3 linked regions of the Struthio camelus genome follow. The protein of the gene in region 1 interacts with the protein of each later gene in a biochemical or structural test. Links are inferred from orthologs where the notes say so. Each region holds a gene or a part of one and is shown in the gene's direction. Other genes may lie near its edges.

Evidence for each region.
Region 2: of the proteins of RPTOR (region 1) and RPS6KB1, one has a biochemical effect on the other in vitro, tested with the Homo sapiens proteins (6 studies listed by BioGRID and IntAct, with this or other methods). The link is inferred for Struthio camelus from reciprocal best matches to the Homo sapiens genes RPTOR and RPS6KB1.
Region 3: the proteins of RPTOR (region 1) and AKT1S1 interact in a biophysical measurement, tested with the Homo sapiens proteins (2 studies listed by BioGRID and IntAct, with this or other methods). The link is inferred for Struthio camelus from reciprocal best matches to the Homo sapiens genes RPTOR and AKT1S1.

Annotation. Positions count from the first base shown.
Region 1 is NC_090960.1:1,159,851-1,167,713, forward strand, and holds the start of RPTOR (regulatory-associated protein of mTOR), read left to right. Parts: upstream 1-4,858; 5' UTR 4,859-4,969; coding exon 4,970-5,131; intron 5,132-7,863. UniProt on the Homo sapiens protein: Component of the mechanistic target of rapamycin complex 1 (mTORC1), an evolutionarily conserved central nutrient sensor that stimulates anabolic reactions and macromolecule biosynthesis to promote cellular biomass generation and growth.
Region 2 is NC_090957.1:18,707,793-18,714,907, forward strand, and holds the start of RPS6KB1 (ribosomal protein S6 kinase beta-1), read left to right. Parts: upstream 1-4,097; 5' UTR 4,098-4,247; coding exon 4,248-4,319; intron 4,320-7,115. Other genes in the region: TUBD1 (tubulin delta chain), read right to left, coding at 1-190, 871-1,087, 1,541-1,688, 2,285-2,456. UniProt on the Homo sapiens protein: Serine/threonine-protein kinase that acts downstream of mTOR signaling in response to growth factors and nutrients to promote cell proliferation, cell growth and cell cycle progression.
Region 3 is NW_027182627.1:110,828-118,162, forward strand, and holds the start of AKT1S1 (proline-rich AKT1 substrate 1), read left to right. Parts: upstream 1-4,317; 5' UTR 4,318-4,423; intron 4,424-5,539; 5' UTR 5,540-5,767; coding exon 5,768-6,007; intron 6,008-6,114; coding exon 6,115-6,202; intron 6,203-7,335. Other genes in the region: TBC1 domain family member 17-like, read right to left, coding at 1,151-1,213, 2,008-2,106, 4,053-4,073. UniProt on the Homo sapiens protein: Negative regulator of the mechanistic target of rapamycin complex 1 (mTORC1), an evolutionarily conserved central nutrient sensor that stimulates anabolic reactions and macromolecule biosynthesis to promote cellular biomass generation and growth.

The DNA of each region.
Region 1 (7,863 bases):
GTATGCTTATTAGATTTTCCAATTCCAGCTGAGTGTGCCTTAAGCATGTAAGGGGCTGGGACTGGCATTCAGAATGGTCTGGACAAACTGGAGATATGTAAAAAATTTGATTTAATTTCCATATGGAGAAATGCAATGTTCCACATGCAGGCTTTGGAACAGCACAAAGCAGAGAACAGGTTAAAACATCTACATGGCAATTCCAGCAAAAAGGATCTGGGGATTACTGTGAATCACGAGCTGAACATGACTCAACAATACTATCCTATTTCAAAAAGAGCAACTACCATACTGGGATGTATAAATAAGTAGTCAGTGAAAGGCACATAACCGTCCTTCTGCCCCAGCCAGTGCTTGTAAGGCTGCGCCTGGAGAGCAGAGCCCAGCCTGGGAAACTGCGCCTCCGGAAAGGTGTGAATCAGCTGGAAAGAGTCCAGAGAAGAGCAACAGGATACGAGGTCTAGGAATGTAATATGGAAAAAAAGGCTAAAAAAAGTGGAATTGTTGAGTCTAGAGAAGGGGTAACCACGAGAAGACTTAAAAACAGCTTTCATATACATAAAAGAGGTGAAAGGAAAAGAGAATAAACTGTTCTCTCCATCTACTGAGGGCAGGAATGAAGTACCTACTTTAATTTTAAGATGGAAATGAGCTGTTCAGAGCACATTGCCTAGAGAAGTTAGGTAGTCTCTATCACTGAAGGTCTTAAGAGCCTGTGATACTGCAGAAATATGAACTAAACATTATAAATAAATAAATAAAAAGAACATTAACAAAGCTCAGGCATATACTGGCTGGAGAAGCACATGAGCAGCCTAAATTATATACTCTAGTGGCATGGGGCTTGCTGTGGTCTGTCCAAGTTGATAAATACTTTTCCTGAGTAAAAGCTGCAGAACCTTCTTTGGGGTGAAGGGAGCCAGGACCTGACACTGGACTATAGAGTGAAATGAAGGAAGCATCACTTCTAACAAGTAATTTTTATGGAGATATAAATGAAAGATTATTTATGGCTCCCTTTGGTCCTTGTCCAATGGAAATGAAATAAGCTTTGATTAAAGCATATAGCTGCAAATGATCGAAGAGAGCCCACAACCACCACCCTGAAGATTTTCACTATCAGAGGACAGATGCCATCAGGGCCAAGTGCTTGGCAGTGCTATATTTGAATAAATCAATTCATTCTGATTTCTGTCAAAATTTGCAAAATTAGGAATTCAGATGGAGACTGATCCCTGCTGACCTGCAGCATATGTCCTTTAGAAAAGGATATTTGTGAGGCTTCGTGAGAGACCTGATAAAGTGCAGATGTATTTTTTTCATTTGTTATTTACTGGCTCCAGTCAGTTCACACTTTCCCAATCATAAATTTACTGAAAGTAAATGTTATGCCCTTTTCATCATGCATAAAAACAATAATGCGTACTTAGCGCATAGGTTGTGTCATCTGAGCCGTCCCATAGCATCCCCTTTGCTAAGGTTATGGGTGTTTTGAACGGTCCTCCCTGTGGCCGGGTGCGAGGGCAGGGAAGGCAGCCCGTCACCCCGCCGGCTGGGGCTGGCGGCACCCCCAGCCCAGGGGTGGTAACTGCGGGGGGGCAGCGCCGTGCTGCCGTGTAGCTGGTGTGGATACGCACACTGACGATGTCCTATCCCAGCCCATTCCTGGCTGAGCTGCTGTCTGTAGAGGCAGTATTTCCTCACTGCAGAGACTTACGGTGTTTTATTACATGTAGAAATGGCATAGCAGCCTTAAGAAGGTGCCGAGGAGCCTGCGAGGTCCCTCTGGCTCTCAAGAAACCGGCCTTTCTGACGTTCCCCTCATGTGGCTCTTCTGCAGTGCCCCAGCAATGCAACCCAAATCCTCAGAGGTAGCAAAGGCTCCATCCTGAATCACTGCACAAAGACTAGAGGAATACGGCTGTGAAAACTGTGAAAAGAGGCTGCTGTGTGGAAACCGTGTTACGAAAGTGGGAACTGGCTCTAGGCTTTCTGCTGCCACCGAGAGCAAGCGGCAGGGCAGCAGAGGACAGGCCTGGTTCACATAGCCTTAAGTAGGTTTGCAGCTATGTGGATCTGTATCCACAGGTATCTCCAGGAGCATGACTGTTTTTATTCTTCCATGGAAATTTGTATACAGCTTGATCCAGTACAGTGTGAGTGTGAAGGGCTGCTAAGGCAGCATTCTGCACCTATTCATATATATATATATGTATAAAAAGAATTGCTTGCATGCAGGGACCTTCTATCACCTTATTATTCTAAGGCAAGATGATCTTATAATGTATCGGTTTAATTTGTTATTTTGCCCAGAATCCGGGGCCAGAGGGCTGACCCAGGAAGGAATGGGGGTCCTGATGCCATTGCCATGTATCTCATACTGCCTTTGGTACTGAGAAGCAGGCAGCATGAGGATTCCCAGCCTGGAAAGATAAGAAAAGATGTAATTAGGCAGAGCAGGGTGGATCTGCAATTGGAACAGTGATGTGGAGAGCCTCAGGTCTAGACTGAGGTCCTCCTGGGGAGCGTATGTCTGGGATAATGGGGGTATTGCAGGTTAGAGCTGATGCGCTCACAGAGCTGTGCGGGAGGTTTGCTGACAGCCTGTTCTCACGGTCTGGTTCTTATCCAGACAGCGAAGCAATCACTTTAGCTCCATTCTGAGGAGTCTTCTCCCCTTTCCCTTCCTCCTCCCTTCCCCTTCCCCATAGAGCCTCTATTATGTGGAACAGAGCAGAGATGCTGGAGAGGAAGGGATAAATGACCTGGGAACGCTGAGGTCCTCAGATGAGCAGGACAGCGTTTCAGAGAAGTCCCTGAAATAAAGGGGAAGGACATGTCTGCACAGGGAGCAGCTACCCGGGAGTGGGTGAACATGGTTCTGGCAGATGCCATGGACTCAGCCTAGAGGACTGTGATAACACATGGTTCTTATCTTAAATAATCACCATTTAAAAGCTTTGCATATGTGAAGTGAGGCAGATTTGTGCTCTCTGCTCTCTGGCAGCTGTGTCCTTCAAAGGTATTTTCGCTGGCAGCTCCTGAGGCTGCACAGCAGGCTGTTCTCGCTGGATAGGCACCGACTCCAGGATATGCTCCCTAATGCTCTGTCAGGATCTCGGATTAGCATCCTTCACTGCACAGCGCAGGGGTCCATCTGTTCGTTCAGGCATTTCAGCTGGGGTGGATTAGTTGTGCTGGGTGCTCGAGCTGTAATTTTTCAGGTAATGTGTTGAGATTGTTAGTCCTATTTTGTGTAGCTGCCGCTGGTATTATGAATCCATTAAAGGTTAGCAGAAATGCAACCATAAGCGCTTTCCATGCCATGGCCATTCATTTTAATAACAATCAGGTAGTTATGATCAGCCACCAACGTTAAACATCCATGAAACAGTGAATCAGTTCAGTCTGTAAATCAAATGAACGACAGAAAACATTGGCGACCCCAGGACCAGAGCCTTCGAGAAACGTTCTTTTCCAGCCGATTGTGGAGAACAGTCTTTGCATTTAAAGTATTTCATGAATGTGAACACACCGAAAATGGTAACGAAAATTCATATGGGTCTATAAATCAAATTGTGCACGTATTCTTAGATTTATACTTTGAAATAATTTTTATCCACATTTAAATTGTAAATAGGAATACAGTTCAACTTGTCTACTGCTAAGAGCAAACACTGAGAAACTCCATTAAGAGCAATTTTTGATATTAACCTGCAGTGTTGAATAGTTTATCTGATAGTAAAGAGGATATAATCCTAAAATAATACATTTGCTTTTCCTTATATAGAGAGCGAGCATATATTAGATGTAACTCTGTTGAAGCATGTTGTCCCCTTTTACTATCCCTCTGCTTTTTTGCCCCCGCATGAATGACAACACAACTGAAACAAGGCCCGAGCCGCGGCAAATTAGACTAGTGGCTGGGCTTGCGCTGCAGGAGCGCGTGTTTGGGGAAACTGGGAACAAACAGGAGCATGTTAATGCTACTGAGGGCCAAGAACTGGAAATCACGGATTTATTTGTGACTCTCTTTACGATGAAGACCATCAGGACTACAATGCGGCAGCACGGCGGTCCGAAAGGCTCTGCGCTGCCTCAGGCGTTGGCGATATAAGCCGCGTGGATTTTTTGGGGACGTTTGCTTTTAGGGCCCCACAAGCGCTCAGTGGATTCTCCTCTTCTGCGAAGAGGGCACCCCAGGGAGCGACAGCCCCGGAGGACACCGGGGCTCTGCCACAGGGTGGAGGAGTCCCTGCGGAGAAGGCAGCTGGGTGAGGCCGCTAAAATGGGCGACTCCGAGGCGCCGGGCAGCCCCCTGCGGCCGCAGGCTGAGGGAAGGGCCGGCGGGGCGCCCCGGACAGCGGCGGAAGGGACAGGGCCGCCCGCAGCCTCCCGCCTCGTCCCGCGCTAGGCCCGGGGCGGGCCGCGCTGGTAACCATGGTAACCGCGGGCGGGCCGGCGCGCGGCGGCCCGGCTTGTCCCACGCGGCGGCCCGTAGCGCGGTGCATTGTGGGCCGGAGGAAGATGGCCGCCTCCTTGCTGTGCTGGTGAGAGGAGTTCGGCTGCCCGGCGCCGTAGGACGAGCCGCCCCGGTTTTTTCCCCCTCCCGTTTTCCCCACCTGACGCCCGCCCCGAGGTCGCAGCTCGCTTACTCGGTCGTCCGCCCGCTCGCCCGCCCGCCCGGGCGCTGGGAGCCGCGATGGGCCGGGCGCGGCTCCCGCCGCGGAGAGTGCAGGGCCCGCGGGGCTAGAGGCGCGGGTGGAGGCCCCGGGCCGGGCCGCCCCCCGCGGGGCCGGGAGACGCCGCCCGCCTCGCCGACGGCGCTGCTGCCCGCCGGCCTGCCCGCAGGAGCGCCGGGGCGCCCGCTGCCTCCCGCCTCGTCCCTGCCTGCGCGCCCGGAGAGGAGCCGCGGCGAGCGCCGGGCCGGCCCGCGCTGCGCGCTCGTTGCCGGGCTCTTCCCCCCCCGATGGAGTCTGAGATGCTGCAGTCGCCTCTCCTGGGGCTTGGCGAGGAGGACGAGTCGGACCTGACGGACTGGAACTTGCCCTTGGCCTTTATGAAGAAGAGGCACTGTGAGAAGATCGAGGGCTCCAAGTCTTTGGCTCAGAGCTGGAGGATGAAGGACCGGGTAAGGCTCAAGGGCAGGGTGGGTTCTGTGTGTGGTGGGGGCGGGGGAGGCAGTGAAGAAGAAGGAATAGCAGCTCCGAGGGGTTTTGTAGTTCCAGCTGCGCTCTATTTTCAGATGAAGCACTGGGTATCTGGTCTTGTAGTCCAGCTAGCCCTGAGTTTGTGTGCTTGTCTGCATGTTTACTTCCCCTGCGGCCATATGACAAATCAAAAATATTAATCGTTAGTTCATGGTAGTTTACTCTTTTGAGTAACTCCTTTATTTAAGCACTTCAAGTAAAATTCGGATGTATGTGTTTTTTCAAGAAAGACGATAATTAATGAGGTCTTAAGGAGCTCTCTGGATCAGCAGGCTAATGATGCAAGCACGCACGTTGTGATAAATGTCATCATTGTAGTTGTTTAGTGGTGAAGATGCATGGAAGTTTTGTGAGTTTTGAAGTTTGCCATCCACGTGTTATGTGGAATATATGAATAAGGTATTCTTTGCAGGGGAAAGAAACTGAGATCACGTGATCTTTTTGGGAGCCAAAAATACTTATTAGATCAAGTTCTCATTGTGTTACAGCAAGGTGCTTCTCTTGTTTTTAAACATCTGTTGCACGTTAAACTGATAAAGTGCATCAGACAAATATCCCTGCTAGGGTATCTGGAATCCTCTGCTGCATCTCAGTGCCCACTTAAACTTTTCTGCTTATATGAAAAACAAACAAAGCATCCTGGATAGTCAGCTCTGCTCACTCTGTTCTTGGGATCTGCTTTGACTTACAGGAGTCCTGAGGTCTCAAAGGCGTTCTGCCCAGATATGTGTGCATATGACTGTGTGTGTGAATACTTACTCTGTTTCCAAATTTATCTTTTGCGTGACTGAAACTTTTTGAAGAAGTAACGTCTCTACGTTCACAAAACGTGTTTCTGGAAGTATTTATACACTGGTACCACGTAGCTAGAACCAAGTAGATTATTTTTACGCTCCCTGGTGTGGTGATAATCTGTTTGTGATGCCATTCTTTGTTAATAATTCTTCCCACATACTTTTTTGATATTTCATATCTTTCTAAGAGTTGAATTGATTTTTTTAATGATGCATGTTTTACAATGCCAACAGAACAGCTGAGATTGGGATTTTGTTGCACTAGGCATGTTAAAGATGAGCGTAGTCCCTTTCCAGTGTTAAATGCTATCTAAAAAAGAAGAAGATAGAGTGGGTTGTAGACGCGATGAAGCAAAGTGGCCAGAGTGACAATGTCAATTTTATATTAGCTATGCAATTTTGAAAAATGTCTATTTGTTATATGGGAAGGGCCAGGGATCAGAGTAAGTGAGATGATAGTATGAGAAGTAGCTGTGTAATTGTTTAAAATGAAAAAATAGGCAACAAATTTACACATTTGAGAGAGATGAGTTTTAAAGAGACACCAATAGTAGTATTTTCTGTAGCTTAGAGTGGTTCTACAGCACATTTCAGTCATGTTTCAGCCAAATGATACTAATCATGGTTGTAAGATCGGGGGGGGGGGGAGGAGGGAGGGACTAAATTTCTATTATGTTTGGGATCCCTTTTGTGACCTTACTTGGGAAGTCAGTGAAACTCTGTCCTGCATTTTCTTTCCAGAGGCGCTATGGCTGGGTATGAGAATGCTATATGCAAATCTAAATGTTCCTAGAGGGGTATTCACCTAAATGGTTATAATTCTCAGAAATGCTGGGAACACATAGCTCTACCTGGGCCAAAATTGTCTGGCTGTGTGGAATCATCTACTGGAAAATTGGGTTGGCAGACCATTAATGGAATGGAATGAGATTTTTGGAGTAGAATTTAATTTAAATGAGCCACAGAACACAAAGTTCTGTGGTATGTCTTCTTTAAAGGGTTTTGGCAAAGAAGAGATGCTGTCTCTAGTAGACTGTGGAGGTGTGATGAGCTTGCTTGTCTATTTTAGTGGTCTCTGCCTTCCTGTGAAACTTCCTGTTCACTTCTTTCCTGATCTGCAAAGCTGTCTCTTTCTAAATGAGGAATGATATTGACCTGATCAAGATAATCAATAGGTTAAAGTATAAGTAAAGAGGTATTAATCAGCTGTCTTCTCTGTATTTGATTGCTGCCTGTGTTTCACATGCATGTTACAGCCAAAGGGAATCATTTTAATGACAAGAGCAATGGTTACAGTAATTGTCACGGCCCAGTTCCTACCATCCTCACTCCTATGGAGTGGTAATTTCTTCTTTTAAGACTCCTCCGTGCTTTGAGTGTGTTATTTGCTATGAATGAGCACGGCAAAGTCACACTCTGACTGATTTCATTCTCAAAGTTACTGAGAGTCTTATTTTTGTAAGTGAAGAAAATAGAAACAAATCTTAAATTTTCAGTTTTGCTCTTCTGCTTTTGTAATCCTACATGTTATTGGAAAGTCTAAAATGAATGTTGTTACTTGTTTCAAGTTAACTTTCCTTTATATAAGGATTAGTGGTTCTGGTGATATGTCGCTGTGTGTCTGGACAGCTTTATCGATTACTGTTTGTCCAAACTTGCCATTTGGTGTAACTGCTTTTAGTGGGGTCATAGGAATATATAGAAAACACATAAAACATCTGAAAGAGGACAGGAAGATAACTTGAGAATATTCAATCTCTTTTCATTTCTTTTCATAGTTGTTTTTCATATATTTTATTTTATTTAACTTTTCTATCTGGCGTTGGATGTCTCTTTAGCATTTGATGGGATGTAACAAA
Region 2 (7,115 bases), on another chromosome or scaffold:
AAATGGGCTGGAAAACACTTCCCAGCTGGTGTGCAATGACTTGATTTACATCCCTGAAGGAGATCTGTTTAATATTCATGAGTTGAGCACAAATCTTGTGAATGACATCGTTTTCATGAACAAGAAGGGCATCTGATGACTGGTACAGATGTGACAGAGTCAGAACGGAGTTGTAGTTTTGAACAATGACCTGGAAGCAGAAAACCACGCACACACATGAGAGTCAAACAACTTATTCTTTCTAGTTTATATTCCTCTGGGTACTATCATTTCCGTAGGTCTGATTTAGGAAGTGATTCATTTTCTTTACCAAATTTAGGCTAGGAGCTAGCATAGCTTTCTCATGGACAGAGAGCAAGACTTGTGAAAATCATACGATCCGGCTCAGTTCATCCAAACATGCTAGAAGAAAGTCTCTCTTGGAACTGATTATAGTACCTGGTCACTATCATAACTACATAACATTTCACACAATGTAACATTTCTAATTAGATAGCAGAGCTTCTGAAGATACTCCATTAAGATCTAGTAGTACAAGAGCTAAGGTATAAACTTTTTTATCATTATTAGCTTGAGATAATAATTTTGATAACCTTTATTGACAACAATAACCTTTTGATAAATAATTCTGAAATATTTTTTTCTTGTGTGAAACCACCTGTACTAGCTATTAGGCAAACAATTCATTAGCTGTATTGCCTTCTGTCATGTTGAACTTAGAAAAAGTAAAATTTTTCTCTTTTCTAGTCTCTTTCAGTAGTTGACATTTTGTTTTTACTTCTAGTAAGGAGTCTTATTTATTTACATTGCTATTCTTTTGTAATCATGATTAAAGTTTTGTAGAATATGTAAGGTACATATGACATTCACCTCACCAGTTCCATATGGCCAGATAACATGGTTTAGTATAAACGAGGCTGGAAAAGCATCCCTTAAACACTGGGTCACAAATGCTCCCAGGCCGGATCCGGTACCACCAGCCATGCTCATTATTGTGAAAAATCCACTGAGACGGTCACATTTCTCTGCTTCTTTTTGTACCAGATTCATGATTACATCTTTGTGTTTAGGCCCGTGAACAGAGTAACTGTTGAATAACAGAGAAGGCAGCAAGACATGGCAGATTCTATTAAAATAAAAGCAATAACATCAACCTATTCATAAAGCACGCTTTTCTTTTTATTAGTTATATAACCTACTATTGTGTCACCAATTCTACCTGTCAGAAACAATCCTCAGCTGTGACATTTGTGTTGTAAAAAAAACAGCTGTTTGTAAAATGTGCTTGTTGTTTTCTCTTTTTTAATAATATTCATCACTCAGTTTTAAAATATTCTTCACTGTGAATGCCAATTTCACGTTGCAAAAAGCAGTCAGAAATTTTGCTATTACACATATTGTTACTCTGTCGTAAAAATAAAACAAGCTAATGTTACAGACTCTGTACTTGCACAGCTGCAATAATACCATTCCTACAGCGTCTAGTCTGCTCATCACCCTCCACAGTTATGTTAGCAAAGCTTGAAATGATTGTTCATACCCATTTGCCCAGTTGTTCCCGGACCCTTGTTTCTGACAGAAGTGTGATCGATCATCATATTTCCAGTAGCCAGACCTGGCAGCTATGGATAAGGTTTGGCTGATTACTTTGGGTTCCATGTCAACAAGCACAGCCCGGGCAACAGGTACTGGAGAGGAAGAAAAATAAAACTAAGAATAATATGCCAGTCTTAGAATTTGTTTACATAAGACAAACAGACAGACAGGCTTGTACCAAGGCCCAAACTGTATTCCTCCCACCCATATAAACTGAACTGTCAACTTCAATGGGACAGTACAGAAAAGTATGGAAAGCAGAACTTGGCAACATTCCAAGTTTCTAGAGCACCACCTATTGTTCCAAAGAGATCTGAACTCCAGAGACCTTTCATGAAAAAAACTATCCCTTTCATAACACAGAACTGGGATTTGATATGACCATGCTCCATGTTATTATCTACATAAATTGGAAAAAAGGAGAGGTTGGAAGGAAAGATTTACGTATAGGTAGCTCAGTTTCCAGCTCTGTTATTGGCATACTTGCTCTGTGGCCTCAGGTGCTTTACTGCACTGTGGTTTTGCCTTTGTAAGTGGCCTCATGAGGACAGATGGTTGTGACAAGTCTTTAAGAATGAAGGCAAAATTCTTCAACCAAAGTAAAAGTGTATGTTATTTCTGTATTCTTAACTATGCTAGGCTAGAAACAAGACCCTCTGTGGGAAACAAAAGTCTTTAAACGCTGTACCTCCAGCTTTCTCCTCACTGAAAAAGCGTTCTTTGCAAGCGTCATGGTATGATTCATTCTCCTTCTTGGAACACAATCCATGCGTGCCATGGACGTCACTGCAGATAGCATTAAACACCTCGTGCCCAATTTGATTACCACACTGACCAAGCTGGACTGTGACTACTGACATTCTTATTCACTTTGTATTTAACCCTAAAAAGGAAAAGCATGCCTTTTAGTTATTCTGGGAAAAAAAAAATTCAGATCAGTTTTGTAACTTTTGCCAACTCTAGTGAGGAGGAAAAGGCTATGCTACAACAACTGCTTGTTCCTGGGGAAATGCTGTCTGTAAGACTTCATCCTGAATGTCAGAAGAATCTCGGTGACCATTTAGAGGAAGCCAGTCTGTTTACTGTTGCTATATATCTTAACAGAACTGAAATCAACCATACAGCAAACAAAGTTAAGTCTCTATTTTCTCACTTTCGCTTAGTAAGGCAGAGTAAAAAATAATCATTAGAAATCCAGCAAAGCCCGAGGATGAGGCTATAAGAACATAATAACTATACTAAGAAAGTACTAGATGCCTTTAGAAATGTGCAGCCCATTTGCAAAGCCAGCTGATTTCCAGTCCTACTGCTGGGGGCCTGATGCCAAAACCAGCTGAAGTGACAAAACCAGCTGAAGCCAAACCAGCTGATGCCAAAACCAGCTGAAGTGACAAAAGAGTCCCCTAGAGCATACTCCTTCCTCCAACCAGAGTGATACTGGCATGCTTGGCCATTTTTCCACTCAGTTTTTTGCTGTAACTCTGGTTTCTCACTTTTTTCTTTTTCCACAAAGACAAGGTCAATATTTGAACTCACTTCATTATTCTGGGCTGCTATTTGTCATTATCGTCCCAGCTGTGCCACAGCACATCTGTAACGGCGTTCTTGGGATAACCACCAGCTCCTGTAATTCGATCCTGCCGCACTTTGTAGGCAGGTATGTGTTTTTTGGTTTTGTTTTTGCTTTTGTTTTTGCTTCCTATGCTGGATTTCAGCGTTTCTGCTAGTCCGCACCTCCCCCCTTTAAAGCCAGGCCGCGTATCAGAGTTACTCCTCGCGGCAGGAAATAAATAAAGCTGTACACGAGCTTCCGAAAATGCTCCAGGTGCGGCCGGAGGGCAGCCCCGGCTCCCCGGCCGCCCGCGCCCAGCGTCGGCACCGCGCCCCGGGGGGCGCCCGCCCGCCGCCTCACGCCACAGGCCGGGGCCGCCATGTCGCCGCTGCTGCCCACCTCGCGCCGCCACCTCTCCCCTTCCAAAGCCGCTTCATCCTCGACGACCCCCGCCCGCCCGCGCCTGCCCGCGGGCACAGCGGCCCTCCCCAGGGTGCTGGTCCCCCCGGCCCGGACAGGGCCGGCCGCCCTCGGCCCCGCTCGGCCCCTAGCTCCCCTCAGGGCTGACCTCGACACCCCCCGCTGAGGCGCTCGGGGGGGGGCGCCCGACAGCGCATGCGCGAGCCCCTTCCTGCACGAGCCCTCCGCTTCGGCCCGACACGCGCCTTCGAACAACCCGCTTCGCGCATGCTCAGAGGGAACTTCGGGCAGGTCGGGGCGAGGGTCAGACGGGCGGGCTTCACGGAGCGCAGTACGCATGCTCGCAGCGAAAGGCCGCCTCTTGCCCTCTGCGCACGCTCCGTGCCAGGCTCAAGGGAGTTGGAGCGCGTGCTGCGCATGCTCCGCTCCGGCCCCGAGGGCTGTCACCCAGCGGGGTGCCCACTGAGCATGCTCAATGCGGCCCCTCACCAATGCCGGGTGACGCAGTGCGCCTGCGCGGCGCCGGGAGTCGGGGCGGGGGCGCAGGCGCGCTGAGGCCTGGCAGCCGGTGATGGCGGCCGTGGTAGAGTTGGGGGGTGCGGGCCCATGAGGCGGCCCAGGCCCCGCGCACTCAGCACAGCGAGGAAGGGGCGGCGGCGCCGCTGCTCACACCCGCGCCATGGCGGGCGTCTTCGACATCGACCTGGACCAGCCCGAGGACGCGGCTTCGGACGAGGAGCTGGAGGAGGGGGTGAGAGGGGGGAACCCGCGCCGCGGCGGGAGCGGGAGGAGGCCGCCGCGGGGCGCGGCGCCGGGGCAGGCCTGAGGGCAGCGGGCGCGGCGGCCGCCCGAGGCCGCTCCCGGGGGCCGGGCGGGCGGGTGGGAGGGAGGGAGCGCGACGCCGGCCGCCGCCGCGGCCCGCGCAGGTGAGGAGACCGCGCCCTGTCCCGGCCGCGCCGCGCCGCCCTGTCAGCGCCGCCGGTGGGAGGCTCCGCGCCGGCCCGGCTTCGCCGCGGCTCCCAGGCGGCGGGAGCGGCAGGTGCCGGCCGCAGCCAGGCACCGGGCTGCAGGCGGCTCCCGGCCGGGGCTCCCCGCCGGTGGGGGCCGCGCCAAACTCGCAGGAGCTTTATTCCCCCCCACACCCCCTACCCACAAAAGTTTGTTTTTGGATTTTCTAGCACAACGGTGTCGCAGTAAGGGTCTTGTGGTTTTTTTTTTTTTTTTGCTTTTTCTTCTTTTTTTTCTCGTCACGTTTTAACGGCAGTGCAGAAATGCTGATCGTTCTGGAACTGTAGAAAGCCCTTGCTCTAGCGCCAAAATTAAATGCGGAGCGTTCAAGTGCTGTGCTAGACGCCTATGCAGATCAGCGCGCCTCCCCATCTCAACGCTTTTCTTGCACAGTTCACCTTGTAACTCGTACTTCGTCGTTTTAGTGTTTCATACAGATTCTGTTAAGGCTTTGGGGGAATTTTATTACAGCATTTCTGTTTCTATTTTTCTAGTGCTACTGTGGCTTTTTATATCATTCTGTATGTTAAAGTTTTGGTATTGCTTAAAGTGTTATTGCATTCATTTTATGCTGTGTAAATCTTAATGACGTACTTAGAATCTCTGAGATAACCCAGTGCTCTGTATCACAGTTGGAGTATGTACACTGTACGTATAAACTGCGGAGATATTATTTGACAATGGAAGGCACATAGTTTCTCGACTTGTAGGAGAAAACACTATCTGTGACCTCAGTAATCAATAAAGTACCTAGCTTAAAAAAAAGTCACCTGCATCACACTGTTAATGTTGCCAAGAACAGGTTCTAAGGGGGACTGCAAGAAAAGTGAATTAATTCTCCCTCATGTTCCAATAATTCAGTCTTAAAGTGTAACTCTGAGGAATGATTTAAAGATTTCATTAGTTATTGTGAACTTTAAAAAAAAAAAAAAATATTTGTAGCACAACTTCTATGAATATGAACGTTCATTGGCGACCTGACTCGGTTCTCGGATGGCACAAAAAATGAATGTTTGCCTGTGATAGCCACATTCAATGTTACATGCTTGCTTCTAGTGTTTGGAGAAATGTCAGTAAAATAAAATCAGCAGAGGAATTAGGTGTTTGGAAAACAGATAAGGAAAAATTAGAATGGACCTAAAATTAAAACAGAACCAGAAAGCAGAGACTATAAGAGCAGGAAAGAAGGGGAAGCATCAGAAAAGTGTTCTGGGAAAAACGTTTAGCAGAAATCTATGTCTACAGGCATTGTGCATGTCTTTCAAGGGTCAGAAAGACATTGCAGACTGAGAGGTTGAGATCATTAAATTCAAAGTGAGCAAGGTGTAAAATCAGGCTTATCTAGTCTAGTCTGCCCAGAGCTGGGCCTTTGCAGCTCCTGAAAACTGTAACCCTCGTAGCCTCAAGGACAGAGCAGTTGTAGTTTTACACAGGCATGGCTATTCTAGAGCAACTAGAAGTAAAACTAGAAGTAAAAACAAGTATTTAGGTGGAGAGTTTACTTGTAAGTGATATGGTTGTTTGCACTAGTTATTACAGTGAATAAAACCTTTATGTTTTTGTTTGTACTAAATGAAAGAATAACTACAAACTGAAGGGTTTCTAGCCAGCATACCATTTCATTTCTTGGTTTTGTTAAACAACAAGAGAAAAAGTCCTTGCAAATAACGGACCAGTATCTGAAGTGAATTTTGCTTACGTTAGTATTGAGAACGAAAGCAGGGGTAAGAATAGCATGCATAAGCTTTGCCAGAACCAGTGGGTAACTTCAAGAAGGAAAAAAATCTAGAAATGTAATGGATATTTATTCTCCATCTCTGATGAATTTTTGAATTTGGTTTTTGTCATCTAACGGTAGAGTCAAGGGCAGCTTTGGTGTATTTTATTGTGAAACAGATGTCAATAAGCTTGATTTCTCTAATAAATGTTATCAAGAGGACATGAGCTAGCAACTTTCCAACTTGGAAACTGACTTGAACTTTTGGACTCTGTAATTGCTGGTGGTGCTAGTAGGTCGAACCAGAAGTTAAATTCCCCTCCAGCTCACCCACCAAAATATACCAGCCTCTGTAAGCTTTAGTGTTTACTTGGTTTGGAAGCTATTGAAAGTTCATCATTTTCTTTGGCTAGTGTTTTCATTTACATAATATCCAAAAATGTACTCCTTAGCTTAGTCTGCTTTTTGCAGATCTCTGTATGGCTTTTTTCGTCTAGTTCTCTGTGGATTGCACAAGTCATTCATTATATCTGTATCCAGTCCTTAGAGTCCAGACTGTTTCTCACAAACTTGGCAGTCTCTATTTTATGTATATATTTTTAAAAATAAAAATGTAACGCATTAGGAAGCTTACACACTAAATTCTCTTTGTTTTCATTCCAGCTGTCTGCTTGGTTTGCACTTTTTTGCCATGTAGAGTCACAATTAAAGAGGGAGATACTATATCGCATTTCGTAGGAATCAAGTCAAAAATTCTTTTAAGAAAGTATATCTTCAATTGAACTACATTCTTTAACGATGTCTAGTACTTAGGTTGACGTA
Region 3 (7,335 bases), on another chromosome or scaffold:
GGGGTCCCGGGGGCAGCCGGGGGTCCCAGGGGCGGTTGGGGGGCGGTTGGGGGTCCTGGGGGGCGGTTGGGGGGCGGCCAGGGGTCCCGGGGGCGGTTGGGGGGCAGTTGGGGGTCCCGGGGGCGGTTGGGGGGCGGCCAGGGGTCCCGGGGGCGGTTGGGGGGCAGTTGGGTGTCCCGGGGGCAGTTGGGGGGTGGTTGGGGGTCCCGGGGGCAGCCGGGGGTCCCAGGGGCGGTTGGGGGGCGGTTGGGGGTCCCGGGGGCAGTTGGGGGGTGGTTGGGGGTCCCGGGGGCGTTTGGGGGGCGGCTGGGGGTCCCGGGGGCAGTTGGGGGGTGGTTGGGGGTCCCGGGGGCAGCCGGGGGTCCCAGGGGCGGTTGGGGGGCGGTTGGGGGTCCTGGGGGGCAGTTGGGGGGTAGTTGGGGGTCCCGGGGGCGGTTGGGGGGCGGTTGGGGGTCCCGGGGGTGGTTGGGGGGCAGCTGGAGGTCCCGGGGGGCAGTTGGGGGGCAGTTGGGGGTCCTGGGGGCGGTTGGGGGGCGGCCGGGGGTCCCGGGGGCAGTTGGGGGGCGGTTGGGGGTCCCGGGGGTGGTTGGGGGGCGGTTGGGGGGCAGTTGGGGGTCCCGGGGGCGGTTGGGGGGCGGTTGGGGGTCCCGGGGGTGGTTGGGGGGCAGCTGGAGGTCCCGGGGGGCAGTTGGGGGGCAGTTGGGGGTCCTGGGGGCGGTTGGGGGGCGGCCGGGGGTCCCGGGGGCAGTTGGGGGGCGGCCGGGGGTCCCGGGGGCGGTTGGGGGGCGGTTGGGGGTCCCGGGGGTGGTTGGGGGGCGGTTGGGGGGCAGTTGGGGGTCCCGGGGGACGGTTGGGGGGCGGCCGGGGGGCGGTTGGGGGGCAGTTGGGGGTCCCGGGGGACGGTTGGGGGGCAGCCGGGGGTCCCGGGGGCGGTTGGGGGGCGGTTGGGGGGCAGTTGGGGGTCCCGGGGGACGGTTGGGGGGCAGCCGGGGGTCCCGGGGGCGGTTGGGGGGCGGCCGGGGGTCCCGGGGGACGGTTGGGGGGCAGCCGGGGGTCCCGGGGGCGGTTGGGGGGCGGCCGGGGGTCCCGGGGGCAGTTGGGGGGCAGTTGGGGGTCCCGGGGGCGGTTGGGGGGCAGCCGGGGGTCTCACCGTGGCGCCGGGGGGCTCCGGCGGCCGCTCCAGGGGCTCCCACTGCAGCGTCACCGCCCCGGGCTGCGCGCCCCACGCCAGCGCCCCCAGTGCGCACCAGTGCTCACCAGTGCCCACCAGTGCACACCAGCACCCACCAGTGCTCACCAGTGCCCACCAGCACCCACCAGTGCGCACCAGTGCCCACCAGTGCCCACCAGCACCCACCAGTGCACACCAGTGCCCACCAGTGCCCACCAGTGCTCACCAGTGCCCACCAGCACCCACCAGTGCCCACCAGTACGCACCAGTGCCCACCAGTGCCCACCAGCACCCACCAGTGCCCACCAGTGCCCACCAGTACGCACCAGTGCACACCAGTGCCCACCAGTACGCACCAGTGCACACCAGTGCCCACCAGCACCCACCAGTGCCCACCAGTGCTCACCAGTGCGCACCAGTACACACCAGTACCCACCAGCACCCACCAGTACCCACCAGCACCCACCAGTACGCACCAGCACCCACCAGTACTGACTAGCACACACCGGCGCCCACCAGCACCCACCAGCACCCACCCCACCGGGCCCCGCCCCAGATGGACCCCGCCCCACCAGGCCCCGCCCCCTCCTGATCCCACTCCATTTGCCCCGCCCCCATCTGGCCCCGCCCACAACAAGCCCCGCCCCACCAGGCTCCACCCCACCGGACCTCGCCCCACCAGGCCCCGCCCCCTCCTGGCCCCGCCCCTCCAGGCTCCCCCCACCAGGCTCCACCCCCTCCAGGCCCCGCCCCTCTGGGCCCCTCCCCCTCCAGGCCCCACCCCCAGGCCCCTCCCCCTCCAGGCCCCGCCCCCTCCAGGCCCCGCCCCCACGCACCCGCTGGAGGAGGCGCAGCACGCCGGGCACGAGCGCCTCGCGGGCCCAGGGCCGCCGCACACGCGTGTGCACGAACACGCCGCCCCGCTCGAAGGTCACCTGCCGGCGGGACACGCCCACCCTCACGCCCCCGCCAACGACACGCCAGCGACACGCCAACGACACGCGACGGGCACGGACACAGGATGGACACGGACACAGGATGGACACGGACACGGGACGGACACGGACACGGGACGGACACGGACACAGGACGCTGGGACCCGGACACGCCAGCGTCACGGGATGGACACGGACACGGGATGGACTCAGACATGAACATGGGACAGACACGGGACGGACACGGGACGGACACGGACACGGGATGGAGACAGGATGGACACGGACGTGGACACGGACACGGGACGGACACAGGATAGACACGGACACGGGACGGACCCGGACACGGGATAGATGCCGACACGGGACGGGCATAGACACGGGGCGCAGGGACCTGGACACGCCATCGTCATGGGATGGACACGGACACGGGATGAACACGGGAAGGACATAGACACAGGACGGACATGGGATGGACACGGACACGGGACGGACACGGACACGGGACGCTGGGACCCGGACACGCCAGCGTCACGGGACGGACACGGGATAGACTCAGACATGAACATGGGACGGACACGGGATGGACACGGGACGGACACGGACATGGGACAGACACGGGACAGACACAGACACGGACACGGGACAGACACGGGATAGATGCCGACATGGGATGGGCATGGACACGGGGCGCAGGGACCCGGACACGCCAGCGTCACGGGACGGACACGGACGCGGGATGGACTCAGATATGAACAGGGGACGGACACGGGACGGACACGGACAAGGGAAAGACACAAGATGGACACGGGACGGACACAGGACAGACACGGGACGGACACGGGACAGACACGGACACGGGACGGACACAGGACGGACACGGACACGGGACGGACACAAGATGGACATGGGACGGACACAGGATGGACATGGGATGGACACGGACACGGACACAGACACAGGACGGACACGGGACGGACACGGGACGGACACGGACACGGGACGGACACAGGACGGACACGGACACGGGACGGACACAAGATGGACATGGGACGGACACAGGATGGACACGGGATGGACACGGACACGGACACGGACACGGGACGGACACAAGATGGACACGGGATGGACATGGACATGGGACAGACACGGGACAGACACGGGACGGACACGGGATGGACATGGGATGGACACAGACACGGACACGGACACGGGACAGACACGGGACGGACACGGGATGGACATGGGATGGACACAGACACGGACACGGACACGGGACGGACACGGGACGGACACGGGATGGACATGGGATGGACACAGACACGGACACGGGACAGACACGGGACGGACACGGGATGGACACGGGACGGACACGGACACGGGACACGCACGGGATGGACATGGGATGGACACAGACACGGGATGGACATGGACACGGGACGGACACGGGACGGACACGGACACGGGACGGACACGGGACGGACATGGGACGGACACGGGACGGACACGGACACGGGACGGACATGGGACGGACATGGGACGGACACGGACACGGACACGGGATGGACACGGACACGGGACGGACACGGACACGGACACGGACACGGGACGGACATGGGACGGACACGGACACGGACACGGGATGGACACGGGACGGACACGGACATGGGACAGACACGGGATAGACTCAGACACGGACACGGCACGGACACGGACACGGGACGCTGGACCTGGACACGCCACCGTCACGGGAACACGGGACCTGGGGTCACAGGGGTCACAGGGGTCACGGTGGGGTCACAGGGGTCACGGCGGGGTCGAGGGAGGCCCGGGGGGAGGGGCGTCACGGGAGGGGTCACGGCGCGGTCACGGGGCCCCGCCCCCTCCGCGAGGCCCCGCCCCCTCCGCGAGGCCCCGCCCCCCCCCCCCCCCCCCGGCCCCCTCACCCGCTCCCCCTCCGCCGCCATCCTCCTGCCGGCCGCTTCCGCAAACAACCCTGACGTCACTTCCCCCGAGACTCCCCGCCCCTTCCGCCGGACGCGGCCCGGGGGGGGGGAGGAGGAGGGGGAGGAGCCGCGCGCTGACGTTGCCCCTGCGCGAGGTGGGCGCCGCCATGTTGGGGCGGAGCTGGGCGCCGCCATGTTGGAGCGGAGCTGGGCGCCGCCATGTTGCGTAGCCGGGCGGCGCCATGTTGGTAGGCGGGGCTCCAGCTCGGCTGCCCCGGTGGGGTGAGAGGTCAAAGGTCGCGGCGCGACGTCACCGCGGCCGCGCCGTGACCGGGGGGGCCGGCGCGGAGCGACACGGACCCGCGGGGAAGGTAACGGGAGGGGCCCCCTCCCCCTCCCCCCCCCCCGGGAGGGGGGCCCAGGCGTCCGGGCCCTTCCCCTCCCCCATGTCCTGAGAAGGGGGGGCCCCGGCGTCCGGGCATGAAGGGCCCAGGCGTCCCCTCACCCGAGGGGCCCAGGTGTCCGGGCATGAGGGGCCCAGGCGTCCGGGCATGAAGGGCCCAGGCATCCCCTCACCCGAGGGGCCCAGGCGTCCGGGCTATGAGGGGCCCAGGTGTTTGGGCACGAGGGGCCCAGGCGTCCCCTCACCCGAGGGGCCCCGGCGTCCGGGCATGAGGGGCCCAGGTGTTCGGGCACAAGGGGCCCAGGCGTCCCCTTACCCGAGGGGCCCCGACGTCCGGGCTATGAGGGGCTCAGGTGTTCGGGCACAAGGGGCCCAGGCGTCCCCTTACCCGAGGGGCCCCGGCGTCCGGGCATGAGGGGCCCCGGCGTCTCCTTACCTGAGGGACCCAGGCATCCGGGCATGAGGGGCCCAGGCGTCCCCTCACCCGAGGGGCCCTGGCATCCGGGCATGAGGGGCCCAGGCGTCCCCTCACCCGAGGGGCCCCGGCGTCCGGGCATGAGGGGCCCCGGCGTCCAGGCTATGAGGGGCCCAGGTGTCCAGGCACGAGGGGCCCAGGCGTCCGGGCACGAGGGGCCCAGGCGTCCCCTCACCCGAGGGGCCCCGGCGTCCGGGCTATGAGGGGCCCAGGTGTCCGGGCACGAGGGGCCCCGGCGTCCCCTCACCCGAGGGGCCCAGGCGTCCGGGCACGAGGAGCCCCGGCGTCCCCTCACCCGAGGGGCCCAGGCGTCCGGGCATGAGGGGCCCCGGCGTCCCCTCACCCGAGGGGCCCAGGTATCCGGGCATGAGGGGCGCAGGCGTCCGGGCCCTGAGGGGCCCCGGCGTCCGGGCATGAGGGGCCCCGGCATCCCCTCACCCGAGGGGCCCCAGCGTGCAGGCTATGAGGGGCCCAGGTGTCCGGGCATGAGGAGCCCCGGCGTCCCCTCACCCGAGGGGCCCAGGCATCCGGGCATGAGGGGCGCAGGCGTCCGGGCCCTGAGGGGCCCCGGCGTCCGGCCACGACAACTCCATGTCCCCTTCTGTTTAGGGACCCCGGCGTCCGGCCGCGAGGGACCCCGCCGCCCCGTCACCCGAGGGGACCCCGGCGTCCGGCCCTGAAGGACCCCGGCGTCCGGCCGCGAGGGACCCCGCCGCCCCGTCACCCGAGGGGACCCCGGCGTCCGGCCGGGCCGAGCGTTTCCCCCCAGCGCCGCCCCCCCCCCCGCCGCGGCGCCCCAGCTCGGTGGGCCAAGGGGGGGCCCCGGCGTCCGGGGCCATGGGCGAGCGGGAGGGCTGGGCGGCGCTGGTGGCGGCGGCCGAGCGCTTCCGGGGGGCGTCGGGGGCCGAGGTGGTGCTGCTGGCCGCCTGGGGGGCTCCGGGGGGCTTCGCCTACGCCCAGCACGGCGGGGGGCCCCTGGGCGACGCCGCCCGCCGCTACCTGCGCGACATCGCCGCCGCCCACCGCGCCGCCGCCGCCGCCGCCGCCGGCCCCCCCCCGCCGCCGATGACCCCCCCGGCCGCCGCCGGCGGGGGGACGACGACGACGACGACGACCCCCGCCGCCGCCGCCGCCGTGACGCCGGCCCCCCCCGCGCCGCCGTCGCCCGCCCCGGCCCCCCCCGGCCACCACGGTCGCCGCCGCGGCCGCCACCGCCGGCCCCCCCCGAGAGACGGGCGCCCGGGCGGCCCCCGGCCCCCAGCGACGCCGGCGGTGATTTTTTGGGGGGGGGAGGGTCTTGGAGGGATCCTTGGGGTGCTGGAGGGGTTCCTTGGGGTGTTGGGGGGGTCCCTGGGGTGCTGGGGGGGTGCTGGAGGAGTTCCTTGGGGTGTTGTGGGGGTCCCTGGGGTGCTGGGGGGGTGCTGGAGGAGTTCCTTGGGGTGTTGGGGGGGTCCCTGGGGTGCTGGGGGGGTGCTGGAGGGGTTCCTTGGGGTGTTGGGGGGGTCCCTGGGGTGCTGGGGGGGTGCTAGAGGGGTTCGTTGGGGTGTTGGGGGGGTCCCTGGGGTGCTGGGGGGGGTGCTAGAGGGGTTCCTTGGGGTGTTGGGGGTTCCCTGGGGTGCTGGGGGGTCCTGGAGGGGTTCTTTGGGGTGTTGGGGGGTCCCTGGGGTGCTGGAGGGATTCCTTGGGGTGTTGGGGGGGTCCCTGGGGTGCTGGGGGGGTCCTGGAGGGGTTCCTTGGGGTGTTGGGGGGTCCCTGGGGTGCTGGGGGGGTGCTGGAGGGGTTCTTTGGGGTGTTGGGGGGGTCCCTGGGGTGCTGGGGGGGTCCTGGAGGGGTTCTTTGGGGTGTTGGGGGTTCCCTGGGGTGCTGGGGGGGTCCTGGAGGGATTCCTTGGGGTGTTGGGGGGGGTCCCTGGGGTGCTGGGGGGGTCCTGGAGGGGTTCTTTGGGGTGTTGGGGGGGTCCCTGGGGTGCTGGGGGGGTCCTGGAGGGATTCCTTGGGGTGTTGGGGGGGTTCCCTGGGGTGCTGGGGGGTCCTGGAGGGGTTCTTTGGGGTGTTGGGGGGGTCCCTGGGGTGCTGGGGGGGTCCTGGAGGGGTTCTTTGGGGTGTTGGGGGGGTCCCTGGGGTGCTGGGGGGATTCCTTGGGGTGTTGGGGCGGGTCATGGGGTGCTGGGGGGTGCTGGAGGAGTTCGCTGGGGTGTTGTGGGGGTCCCTGGGGTGCTGGGGGGGTGCTAGAGGGGTTCGTTGGGGTGTTGGGGGGTCCTTGGGGTGCTGGGGGGTGCTGGAGGGGTTCATTGGGGTGTTGGGGGGGTCCCTGGGGTGGTAGTGGGGGTCCTGGAGGGGTTCGTTGGTGTCCTGGAGGGCTCCTTGGGGTGCTGGGGAGTCCTGGAGGGGTTCGTTGGGGTGTTG